Linked DNA regions of Mus musculus. The protein of the gene in region 3 binds, or shares a complex with, the protein of the main gene of each other region. Links are inferred from orthologs where the notes say so. Each region holds a gene or a part of one and is shown on either strand. Other genes may lie near its edges. The genes, in order: Ksr1, Ksr2 and Map2k1.

Region 1 (3,747 bases), on a different chromosome or scaffold from region 3:
CAAGGTCAAACTCCCATCCAAAATGGCATCCAAAGTCCTGTCTTTTCAGGGACCAGAAGGATCTTTCAAATGCATTGCAAAGAACAGGGCATGTGTCTTGTTCACACTGCAAATGGCCCTTGGGCCTTCAGAAGCCACAAGAGATGACCTCAAAATGCACCCAGTAGGGAGGCTACTGCCTAACCAGCTCAGAGGCCTGAACAGCTGGAGACTCTGGGGTATCTGATGTCACAACTTTGTCAAGATGTGCAATCTCAGAGGACAAAGAGAATTTGCAGAGAATAAAGAATAAGCCATTCTACATACAACCAGGGACCCAGGAGCACCTCAAAGGGACCTGGGGAGGAACTACAAAGGCCAACCCAGAACATTCAACAGCCCAACAACATAGCAACTCAACAGATATACATGGCAGGACAACGAGCCCAGAACTATGACACACAGGCCTCCTATTGTATCAGCCTAAAAAGTGAACTTTGCTGGACACACACACTCAGCTGTGTTCAAGAAATCCACATGCAGAGACTCCCAGTGCAGGGTTTTGTTGGTTTGTTTTTAAGGCAAACCCCAGGTCAGTCCTGCTATAGCAACTGTAACAAAAAAACAATAATAATAGCCAGCACTGTTTGGAGTCTCCCAATGTCCCTGGCTTCATGGCTTTTATGAAAATACAACTAAGGGAGAGTCACCCTGAGCATTTTGGATCAAACAAGGATTCAGGCTTGTGGTGCGAGAGGAGGGAGGGCTGGTCTTGTAATAATTACAGCAATCATCAGCTGGCTCTAGGACAGCTGGCAGATGCAATTAGCAATTGTGTGTGTGTGTGTGTGTGTGTGTGTGTGAGAGAGAGAGAGAGAGAGAGAGAGAGAGAGAGAGGAGAGAGAAAGGGTATTATGTATCTAACAAGACATCCTCAGACCTACAGAAACCAAATGTGGCAATGCCAGGGAAAGGCCCTTCTTAGGGAAAGAGTTACTAAATAACCCCTTCACTTTCAAAGGTCTTCCAGTCTCTGGGCAAAAGCAAGTTGGGAAGGCACTAGTTTCCCCCCCAATGTGTAAGGGGGTGGGGGAGCGTCCCCTTCTGAAATGCCAACCACCTTTCTGGCTGGTTCTTCCAAATCGTTTTAATGCTGCACTTCCCAACTGTATAATTTGAGAGAAGAGAGCTCACACATCTTGTTTCCTCATTGCACTCCAGGTTATCTCTGTCAGCAACCCCCTTAAGTAGCCTGTTCTTACCAAAGGTTCCCTTCCCCAGTATAATCCTTCCTAGGCCAAAGCTCAGTGTTTGGGGTGGAGTAGGGAAGTCAAAGGGTAATTTCATTTTAAGCAGTGAACCGCTGTGACATCTCCAAAGACAAGCACCCCAACGCCTGAACAGCAAAAATGCTGTTTCAGCAAACACTTTTTGAAAAGCGGCAGAGACCTGGTGGAAAGGAAAGAAACGGACAACAAGGAGAGTGGGGAGTGAGGGGAAAGTCAGTGCCACCGATCGATCGACGCTCACACTTCAAGGGACGTCCCCCACATCGCCCCAGCCCACGCTACCGGACTTAAAGCACACGGAGAAAAGACCGGCGCGTGATTCAGTGGGACAATGACTACTGTGGGCACTGGAAATAGGGTGAAGGCGGAAAGGGGTTTGCAGTGGGGTGCCCTGTGCATCCTACTCGGCACGCTGGTCTTCGAGACTCGATCCAGTTCCACGCTAACACCCCCCTCCCCTAAATTCTTCCAAAGTGAGAGCTGGTCGTAGGTCCTCACGCTGCCGCATCAGAGAGCTCGGGAAAGGGAGGAAGACTCCAGCCAGCAACCCCGCTGCAGGATGCAACTCGGGAAGGAAAGCAGTGGGGCGGCTCCCGGGCCACCGCCGGGTCCGGACGTGGGGCGCAACGGCCCCTTACCTCTAGGGTCCGGATCTCCTGCTGTGTGAGGTCGTTAGACACTGAGCACTTGGTGCGCAGCCCGCGCAGACTGCCGATGGAGATATCGATGAGCTTCTGCAGCTGGCCGCACTGCTGCAGCGCCCGGCTGACGGCGGCCCCTGCGCCCCCGTCCGCCGCGGCGCCCCCGCCGCCGCCCTCCTTTTTCTCGCCCATCGCTGCCGCGCGCAACGCCGCTCTATCCATGCCTCGGCATCGGGGCCGCTGGGGGCCGAGGCGAGGAGCCCGGGGACACGGGCGCCTCGGCAGGAAAGCCCCGAGCCAGGAAGGCTGCACTAGGAGCGCCCCTTGGCGCCGCCTAAGCCTGCAGTCCCGAAAGCCTGCTGCCCAGTCCGCTCCTCCTCCCGCCCAGACGCGGCGGCAAAGCGAAAGCCTCCACTACCCGACGGCTGTGGTTGTTGGAGCCTTTAAGCGACAGCGGGGGCCGGATCGGGGCCGCGACGCATTCTGGGACTTGTAGTCCGCGCATCGCATCTGCTTTCTGGCCCGCGCCCTCGGGGCCCCGCCCGCACTTCGGCCCCGCCTGACGTCTAGAAGGGGCTGCTCTGCGCCTGCTCCAATTCGTGCGCGTCGTGGTCTAGGGAGTTTGATTCCTTTACCCCCATCTCCCACTACTACACCCTTCTCACACACGCAAGCGCACACACATCAGTAGCTTTCCGAGACTGGCGAATGGGGTGGGGAAGGGGCTGATGGCTCAGACCCAGATAACCCCTGTCTTGTAGGATATTGAGGGTCCTAAAATTTTTGTATGAGTTTAGGGGTTACCATGTATGGGAATGCGCTAAAAGTGTAGCTCAGCGGCAGAACATTTGCCAGGCAAACACAAAGCCCTAGGTTTGATTCCCCAACACTATCAAAAGAAAAGAAAAAGAAACACCCACCTTCATCAAAATCTCACAACACCCGACGAGGCTGTGTTTGTGTTCACATAGAGCTTGACCCTGAATTGTCACACCAAAGTTACTGTGCAGGCAAGGAGAAAGGACTTTCTTCTGTGTTCTATTTACTCAACAAAATAAATTTAGTGCCCCCCATACCCTGTAGATGCCACATGGGCAAAATATTAATTTGTTGAACAGTTCTAAGAGTTTCGAGCCAGAGAGAACCTGGGTCTACCCAGTATGTGAACTTGGACAAATAGCTTTCCTCTGAGTGCCCAAGTTTCCCCTTCACATCAAATAGGGTAGTCATAGCCATCTAGTCTAGAGGGTTTCTTTAAAAAAGTTATGTTTCTAACAGCACCCATATTAACTGCTGGCATGTGCGATCAAGTATACATGCTAGCTCCTTTCTAACTTCACACTATCTAGATGAGACCCTGAGCCTCAGCAGTCAGTGGTCTTAGCAGTGGTGTTTCCCAGTCTGCCCTAATTTAAGCTTTACCACACCTGCTCATTCTCCTCTCCCATCAGTCCACCTCACATGTTCTAGCAATAAAAATGAAGTGAAAATGAGCCAGGTGGCAGTGGCACTCTGGAAGCAGAGGCAGGAGAATCTCTGTGAGTTCCAGGCCAGCCTGGTCTACAGAGCAAGTTCCAAGACAGCCAGGGCTACACAGAGAAACCCTGTCTCGAAAAAAGAAGTAAAAACTGAAGTCAAGTGTACACACTTTTAATCCCAGCACTCCAGAGGCAGAGGCAGGAGGATCTCTGTGAGTTCAAGACCAATCTGGTCAAATAGTGAATTCAAGACCAGCTTGGGCTACATATATAGTGAGGTCTTGCCTCAAAAACAGTGTTGGGTTAGACAGATAGCTCAGCAGTTAGGAGCGCTCGCTCCTGCAAAGGATGAGGAGTTCT
Region 2 (3,647 bases), on a different chromosome or scaffold from region 3:
GTGGGGACCTCAATGTCAAAATAGGCTCCCCTGGACAGACAGATGCTGGTAGACAAGTGTGGTGACTGGGTGCTGGGTGCACAGAGTGGGTGAGGCCAGCTCAGGGAAGGGTTGAGGGAGAGGATCAAAAAAGGAGACAAAGATCAATGGGCAATCCAGCTGGGGAGGGGGCTGAGGTAAACACATACTCTGCAGACTTCCAGAAATGTCCGGGGTGCGACAGGCGGCGGTTTCGCTTTGGCAGTTTCTCTAGCATGTCCATGAGCTTGGTAAAGGTGGGCCGCTCTTCCTGCTCGAAGGCCCAGCAGAAGAGCAGTATGTCCTAGAAGAGACCAGAGAGTCGTGACTGGATCTAAGTGGTGACTTTCCTGAGTCCTTGTCTAAGTCTCAGCTTCTGGGCATGGCTCTGGGTCAGCCAGGTGTCCATCCACCTGGTCCACTTCACATCTCTCCATTAACCGCCCTTCTACCCACTGATCAATCTACCTACTCATAAACATAGCTATCCCACCCAGCCACTCTATCCATCCACTCAATCACCAGCCACCAGCCATCTGCTCACTCATGTATACAGCCATCACACCCATCCATCCATCCATCCATGCATCTATCTATCCATCCATCCATTCATCTATCCATGTATCTATCTATCCATCCATCCATCCTTCCATCCACCCATCTATCCATGTATTCATCTATCCATCCATCCATCCATCCATCCATCTATCCATCCATCTATCCATCGATCCATCCACCCACCCATTCACCCATCCATCTATCAATCTATCCATTCACTAACCACCACCCACCTACCCATTCATATACACAGCCACCCCTACCATCCATCTATCTATCCACCCATGCATCCACTCACTAGCCACCATCTACCTATCCATTCATGTACACAGCCATCCCACCACCCAGCCACCCATCAGTCTACTCATCATCTACCCATCCATCCATCAACTCATCCATTCATTCTTCTTCTAGTATCCATTATCTATTCACCCATCACCCATTCACACTACCATCTACCCATTCACAACATACACCCATCCATCCCTATGAACTCAGCCATCCTCATTCATCATCTATCCCTCCATTTATTCATCCACACACAAGTTATGTACACTCTCTCATCTCTCTGTCCACTTACCACCCACCGTTCATCCACACAACATCCCACCCACCCATTCATCCATCTCTCGGTCCACAAAGCATGAATCTGCATAACCATTCCTTTATATCATTTCCCTTATTTCTCTTCATCTACCCTCTTTCATCCACCCACTCACCATATCCCACTGACACTCTCTCCTTGCCCTCTTCTCATATACTTTGTAAGACCCTTTAATAAGCCGGGGAGGCTCCGTGCTAGAAGGCCAGAGACCTGTCAAGACCAGTAATAGCTTCAGGGAGTTTCCTTGGTATTTTTCTTGAGCAAGGGATAGAAGGAATCCTACAGTCGCTAGCTACATCCCACTAGATTAGTGGGTGTCCTTCAAAAATACAGAGGAGAAAAGCTAATTTCCACCATCTCCTTGCTCAGCAAGAGGAACCTGGAGGTAGGCGGTCCTGACAAACACCTGGGGTAATTACTGCTTCCCTGACTTATTGGTTCTCCCCCATTGTGTCTAAAAGGAAGATCAATCAGACTTACAATCAGACTTCTTGATTTCTGTCTAGTATACTTCGAGTTAGATAATGGTTTCAGACTATTATGAGATGCAAGGAAAAGTGAGTGCTAGTACTGTTTGTGATCTTTTAATGAATTTTGTTTTAAAAAGTAACAGACCAGGTGGTCTATTTTGGTTTTATCTGAAGCAGCAATCCATTGCCAAGAGGGCGAGCAAGTGTTATTGCGCCCCTGGTGGCAGCCACTTGGAATTGCAGGCATAGTGCTGAGAATTTGCCCTTTAAGCTCCAAGCAGGTCACTTTCTTAGCCACTCTCTGGGAAAGTGTCTATAACCTTCATACCCGAGACCAGGAAATCTCAGGACTGTGTCAGTGGCCTCTCTCCGTGTCCCCAGACCCTGCCTCTCATAGGGACTTACCGAGATTTCTTTTCCCATGCCAATCTGGCTGAGGTTGGGCTTCATTCCCGTGCCCATCTGCCAAATGATTGCCTCTGCTGGTTGGGTCTTGAATGGCCACTCCCTGGCGTGGAGCTCATACCAGATGGTGCTGTCAGACAGTGGATACAGTTAATGAGGCATTGCTGCAGGACAGTGTGTCAGTTGTGACCCTGGAGCCCCTTTCGTCACCCACTGCACCAACAGGGGCAGCATCCTGGCTGGCCATTTCCCTCTGCAGTCTCTTCTCAAGGGGGTTGACAATTTGTTTAAAACCCTCTTGAAGTTAGACATTAGGCTTGTTGTTTCAGAATACCTATTTTGATGCCGGGATGGATACAAACTGGACCTGAATAATTTAACACAGTGCGGTGGCCACTCGCAATTATATATTAAAATTCTATACTTGGAAAAAAAACCCTATATTTGAATACTTTACTCTTGAGGTTGTTCTCTACCATCTAATATGTAACACTGAAAAAGCTGGAAATGGTATAACATCTCTGTAGTCGTCAGCAGATGTATGTATGATGGTAAGTAACTCTTTTAAGTGAAACAGCACCATAGTACCTGACATAAAATTTTCTCAATAGATCACTCTAAGTGTAAGAAATGGGATGAGGAATACATATGGGGGTCTTTTATATGCGTGGATCGGGGAGGATCATGAAAGGCGGCAACATGCTGAGAAGTAGTGGGACGGGAGCTTACTTTCATACCTGTGCGCTGTAAAGATGAATCATAGTGTGTGATGCAGACTGGCCATAGTCTATGCTACCGGGATGATGCTGTGCTAGCCCCACCCTTTCTCTCTGTGCCTATGGAAGGGTGTCTCTGAGGAACACCAAGCATCAGGGCACACGGTGCCAGGATTGCTCCATGGATATTTGCCAGGCCACATGCCCCCTAACTCACAGCAATGCAATAACAGGAGAAAGGATGCTGACAGAGAACTTGAATGTGGTCGGGGTGATGGCTGGATGGTATGTAAATGAGGCGAGCATGGTGAACATGGTGGTGGATGAACTTGGGGAAGCTGGCATGTCACTGAGCCATACTGTGGCCAATAGTTTCCATTCCCTGAGAAGCAAGTCTCTCACTTCAGGGAACATCTCAATAATCCCAGGAAATGATGTCACTGTCACCACCACCCCTGCCCAGCTCCTGCTCCCCAAGGAGACTTCCGGGCCTTTCTTTCAGGAACACAAAGCACTTTGGCATTCTCTTGCCTGATCAAGGACTGTGTTAACTCATGTCTTCATGGGCAACTTTATTCTATTTAAACTTTTGTTTTATTTTTTAGTTAAGAGTGTGTGGGGTTATATAGCCACGTGACTTGTGAGTGCCTGTGGAGGCCAGAAGAGGCCATCAGAGATTCTGGAGTTACATCTGTGAGCTGCCGGGGTGCTGGGAACCAAACTCTAGATTTCTGCGAGGGCAACAGTGCTCAAAACTATGTAGCCCGAGATGGCCTGAAACTTGCTGAATTATCTCCCTGGCTCCTAATCGTGCTGCCCAAACATAAGCTGAGCAGGGACAACAGCAACAGGCTGTTGGGAAAGCCCAGAAGGTCT
Region 3 (3,747 bases):
CCAATGCAGGATTTGGGGACTGAAAGATAATCAGGTTTGCACAGCAAGCGCTTTTACAGAGCTATTCCTCTGGCACCCTAGTCAGTTCTTTACATGAAAGCTACCTTTCCTTTAAAGGAGTACAGTTACAACGTCAAAAAGAACAAGAGCATGACAACAGGTATCTATCTCCACTTGCAAAATCAAAGATCTGAAGGTAGATAGGGCCCTAACCTTTGACAAGAATCTAGAGTGAACAAAACTTATCCTAAGGGTTGGAAAGATGGCCCAGCAGTTTGAAAACTTAAGAGCCCTTACTGTTTCTGCAGGTGACAGGGGACTACAGTTCAGTTTCCAGCACTCATGGCTCACAACTAGCTCCAACGAATCCAGGGAATCTTGATAGCTCTGGCCTCCAAGGGCACCTCACTCATGTGCACATACCCATGCAGACAAACATACACATGTATCATTAAAAATAATATAATTTACACCCAACCATTGGACTGAAGTCGGGAACCCTTATGGTTGAATTAGGCAAAAAATTAAAGAAGCTGAAGGGGAGAGCAACCCCATAGGAAGACCTGCAGTCTCAACTAACCCAGACCCCAGGGAGCACCCGAACACCGAGCCACCAACCAGGAGCATACACCGGCTGGTCCGAGGTCCCTGGCACATATATAACAGAGAACTGCCTGGTCTGGTCTCAGGAGGAGAGAATGAGCTTAATCCTGGAAAGAGACTTAAGGTTCCAGGGAAGGGGGGGCACTCTCAGAGGCGAGGAGGAGGAATGTGATGAGGAACTGTGGGAGGGGAGACTGAAGGGGGCAACAACTGGAATGTAAATAAATAAAATAATAAAAAAATTTAAAAATAATATGATTAAAAAAAAAAAAAAAGCTTGTGCTAATTCTATGCCAGTCTGGGTTACACATATAGACCCTACCCATCCCACTCCATTGTCTCACAAAAATATTTGTCCTGAAAAGAGTTGCTGAAGAATACCTTACCTTGAAAGAGGGGAGGGGGACTTGCAGTCTGTTTTACAGGGGGTAAACTGCTGTACATACACACTGAACAAATGCTAATTATGCTGCTCAAAGACATATGTTACAAATCCAACGTCAAGGGCAATGTCAAGGACCTAAAGAAAAGATGTGTTTGAAGCAAGTCTTAATAATCTGGCTATGCTCACACAAATCCACCACTACCAGCCCTGCCATTGATACTACTGCAGGTATCAATGACAGTAACCATACCAACAGGTCCTGAGTTATTAAAATCTAGGGAAAGGAGGGAGGGGGGTTACAATAATCTCCAAAGGACAGAATGCCTGAAGCTACTTTCATTTTATCAGATACCTCTCAAGTCTCCTGACCTCAGGGAAAGATGAAGAAGAAACCCAACAGGTGGGCTCAGAAACCCACCTTATGAAATAAACTCTTATCTGTCTGTAAGCAACACTGGCCCCTGCAGATACCGAGCAACCTTTGGCTTTGTTTCCCTGGTCATCGTTCTTATGCCTCAAGTCAATTTCCGGCTCCCGGTCAACTAAGCAAAGCTGGGAGAATAACCGGTGAGGGGATGAACTGTTGCATGAACGGACAGATGAAGAGAGACTCCTCCCTCGAGCAAGGTACTTCTCAAGAAAAAGGCCACGGATGAGGGAGTCCCCAAAGTGAACCAGGGAAAAGCCATGGGGAAATCTGTGAACACACGCCCCCGCTGGCCAGGCGATCAACCGGCCACAAGGCCCCACAGGTGTCAGGCACCAAAAGTAAATGGGGCTCACCCATCCCAAGTCCACACTCAGACCCCGAGGAGGTCTCAAAGGTTAATGAGAAGCGACCTGAATTTGCTCTGCGTCTTGTTACAGGCCAGAATCCCAGAGTATGCCCTTTAGGCAATAGCTAGGGGGGGACGCATTAGGTTTCGTTTTCTTGGGCGAAGATTGATGTCGGTGGCCAGGGACGACAGACACTGTTGGGAAAGAGGGGGATCGGGACTTGTAGGGTGCACGGTCGATGTGAGTCAGGCACCCAATCAGTGCTTAGTCACTGATAGCCCGGCGGCCGGAGTTCCTCGCCCCCCGCCAGCCGGGCCGTACGTGACGAAGCCTCGCCTGGCGGTGGCGGCCTCCCGGCCACTCCCGGTACTCACTCGGCCGAGCTGGTCCCGTTAACCGCCGAGCCATCGGGGGCCGGGTTCAGCTGGATGGGCGTCGGCTTCTTCTTGGGCATCTTGCAGCCGGGAAAGAGCCTGCAACTCAGCAGGGAGCGCGCGGCCGCTTCTCGCTTCCTCCCTCGGCTCTGCCCAGAGTCGGGGCGGCTCGATCAACGCCGCGCTCCTGGGACCCTCCGCCCAACCCACGCGGAGAACCAGCTGCGCGCGCTCGCCGGCCGGGAACTCTCGCCTCAGCACACCGGTTCCTCGGGCTCGGACGGCTCCCTGCGCACTACCCACAGCTCAGCTACAGCCCCAGCTTGGAGAAAGTGCGGCCACCGCTGCTCCGGCGCTCCGAGACGCCGCGCACAGACGTCCCAGTGAGGGACTGGAGGGTGAGGGAGGGGCGGGGAAACGAGCAGGCCCCGCCCCCACGGGGGCTGCAGCGCTTCCCTCACGCCCGCCTGACTCCGCCCCCGTCGCTTCGCCGACAGCCAATGGGGACTAGCCTCAGAGGCAGATGACGCGGAAATACGTCACGGGAGGCGCGGCGCATTGGCTTGGGGCGGAGTTAAAGGGAGGCTTTCCGGGCGCCCTCTGCTGACCAGCGGTATCCAGGTGGCTGCTGTACGAGGTTCTTGCACGCAGGTCATCTTGCCTTTGAGTGGGGCTGCTTGGCCTATTTATCTCAACTCTTCTCCTCCCTTGGGCTGGGTCATTTTGACCCAGACAAAAGTACAAAATAAATAAGAAAAGGACCCCTTTTCGTGTCCTGAGGCCAAGCGGAATTGAGTAAGAGCAAACTAAATTGAACAAAAGCCAGGAGTGCACATTTTTAATTCCAGTACAAGAGGCAGAGGCAGGCTGATGTGTACGCATTCGAAGCCAGCTTGGTCTACACAGCCAGGGATACATTGTGAGACCCAGTCTCAAAATAAAAGAAAACTTGTCAAGAGACTCCTTAAACTAAACTGACATGATTTTTCTATTTTAATTCTACTAAAATGGAGGTACACAGCTGAGAACTCCGTGCTGCAGAGGTGGTAAATTAGTGAAGCCTATTTTGAGAGCAGATTGAAGTCTAATTAATGGGGTCAGCCGACCTAAATGTATCCAATCTCATATCCTCTTTTTCGTTTTCTAAGCCTTTTGGCAAAGTCAAGTTTGGAGTAGCCTGGACAGCTAGCGCAGAAGTTGAGGGTGTTTCTTGCTTTAACAGGACTCTAGTTGGGTTCCCTGCATTCGTGTTTGGGCAGCTCACAACCACCTGTAACTTCCAGCTGTAGTGGATACCATGCCTCTGGCCTCTGAGGGTACATGTACTCTTGTGTACATACCCAAACACACACAAACATCATTAAAAATAAAGTCAGGCACACACTTTTAATCCCAGCACTCGGTAGGCAGAAACAGGTGGAAATCCCTAGTTGGAGACTAACCTGGTCTACAGAGTGAGTTCCAAGACAGCCAGGACTACACAGAGAAACCCTGTCGTGAAAAACTAAAATGGCTGATGAGATGGCTCAGTGGGTAAGAGCACCCGACTGCTCTTCCAAAGGTCCTGAGTTCAAATCCCAGCAACCACATGGTGGCTCATAACCATCT

What was found.
Region 1: the proteins of Map2k1 (region 3) and Ksr1 are in contact, whole or in part, in a crystal structure (PDB 9AXH), measured with the Homo sapiens proteins. The link is inferred for Mus musculus from reciprocal best matches to the Homo sapiens genes MAP2K1 and KSR1. Residues at the interface, in NP_002746.1 of Homo sapiens: Asp217, Ala220, Asn221, Ser222, Phe223, Val224, Gly225, Thr226, Arg227, Ser228, Met230, Arg234, Leu235, Gln236, Gly237, Met308, Ala309, Ile310, Phe311, Leu314, Asp315, Val318, Asn319; in XP_011523731.1 of Homo sapiens: Asn767, Gln768, Leu769, Lys770, Leu771, Ser772, His773, Leu776, Val784, Arg785, Met787, Thr788, Pro789, Asn823, Gln824, Ala825, Ala826, Glu827, Ala828, Ser829, Ile830, Trp831, Gln832, Gly834, Ser835.
Region 2: the proteins of Map2k1 (region 3) and Ksr2 are in contact, whole or in part, in a crystal structure (PDB 7UMB), measured with the Homo sapiens proteins. The link is inferred for Mus musculus from reciprocal best matches to the Homo sapiens genes MAP2K1 and KSR2. Residues at the interface, in NP_002746.1 of Homo sapiens: Val81, Glu102, Met219, Ala220, Asn221, Ser222, Phe223, Val224, Gly225, Thr226, Arg227, Ser228, Met230, Arg234, Leu235, Gln236, Gly237, Met308, Ala309, Ile310, Phe311, Glu312, Leu314, Asp315, Val318, Asn319; in NP_775869.4 of Homo sapiens: Lys674, Arg818, Asp820, Lys821, Leu822, Arg823, Ile824, Gln825, Asn826, Ile837, Arg838, Gln839, Leu840, Ser841, Pro842, Gln877, Pro878, Ala879, Glu880, Ala881, Ile883, Trp884, Gln885, Gly887, Thr888, Met890.

Annotation. Positions count from the first base shown.
Region 1 is NC_000077.6:79,144,149-79,147,895, forward strand, and holds the start of Ksr1 (kinase suppressor of Ras 1), read right to left. Parts: upstream 2,326-3,747; 5' UTR 2,132-2,325; coding exon 1,907-2,131; intron 1-1,906.
Region 2 is NC_000071.6:117,759,862-117,763,508, reverse strand, and holds part of Ksr2 (kinase suppressor of Ras 2), read right to left. Parts: intron 2,186-3,647; coding exon 2,056-2,185; intron 323-2,055; coding exon 189-322; intron 1-188. UniProt on the Homo sapiens protein: Location-regulated scaffold connecting MEK to RAF. Has very low protein kinase activity and can phosphorylate MAP2K1 at several Ser and Thr residues with very low efficiency (in vitro).
Region 3 is NC_000075.6:64,251,074-64,254,820, forward strand, and holds the start of Map2k1 (dual specificity mitogen-activated protein kinase kinase 1), read right to left. Parts: upstream 2,533-3,747; 5' UTR 2,220-2,532; coding exon 2,140-2,219; intron 1-2,139. UniProt on the Homo sapiens protein: Dual specificity protein kinase which acts as an essential component of the MAP kinase signal transduction pathway.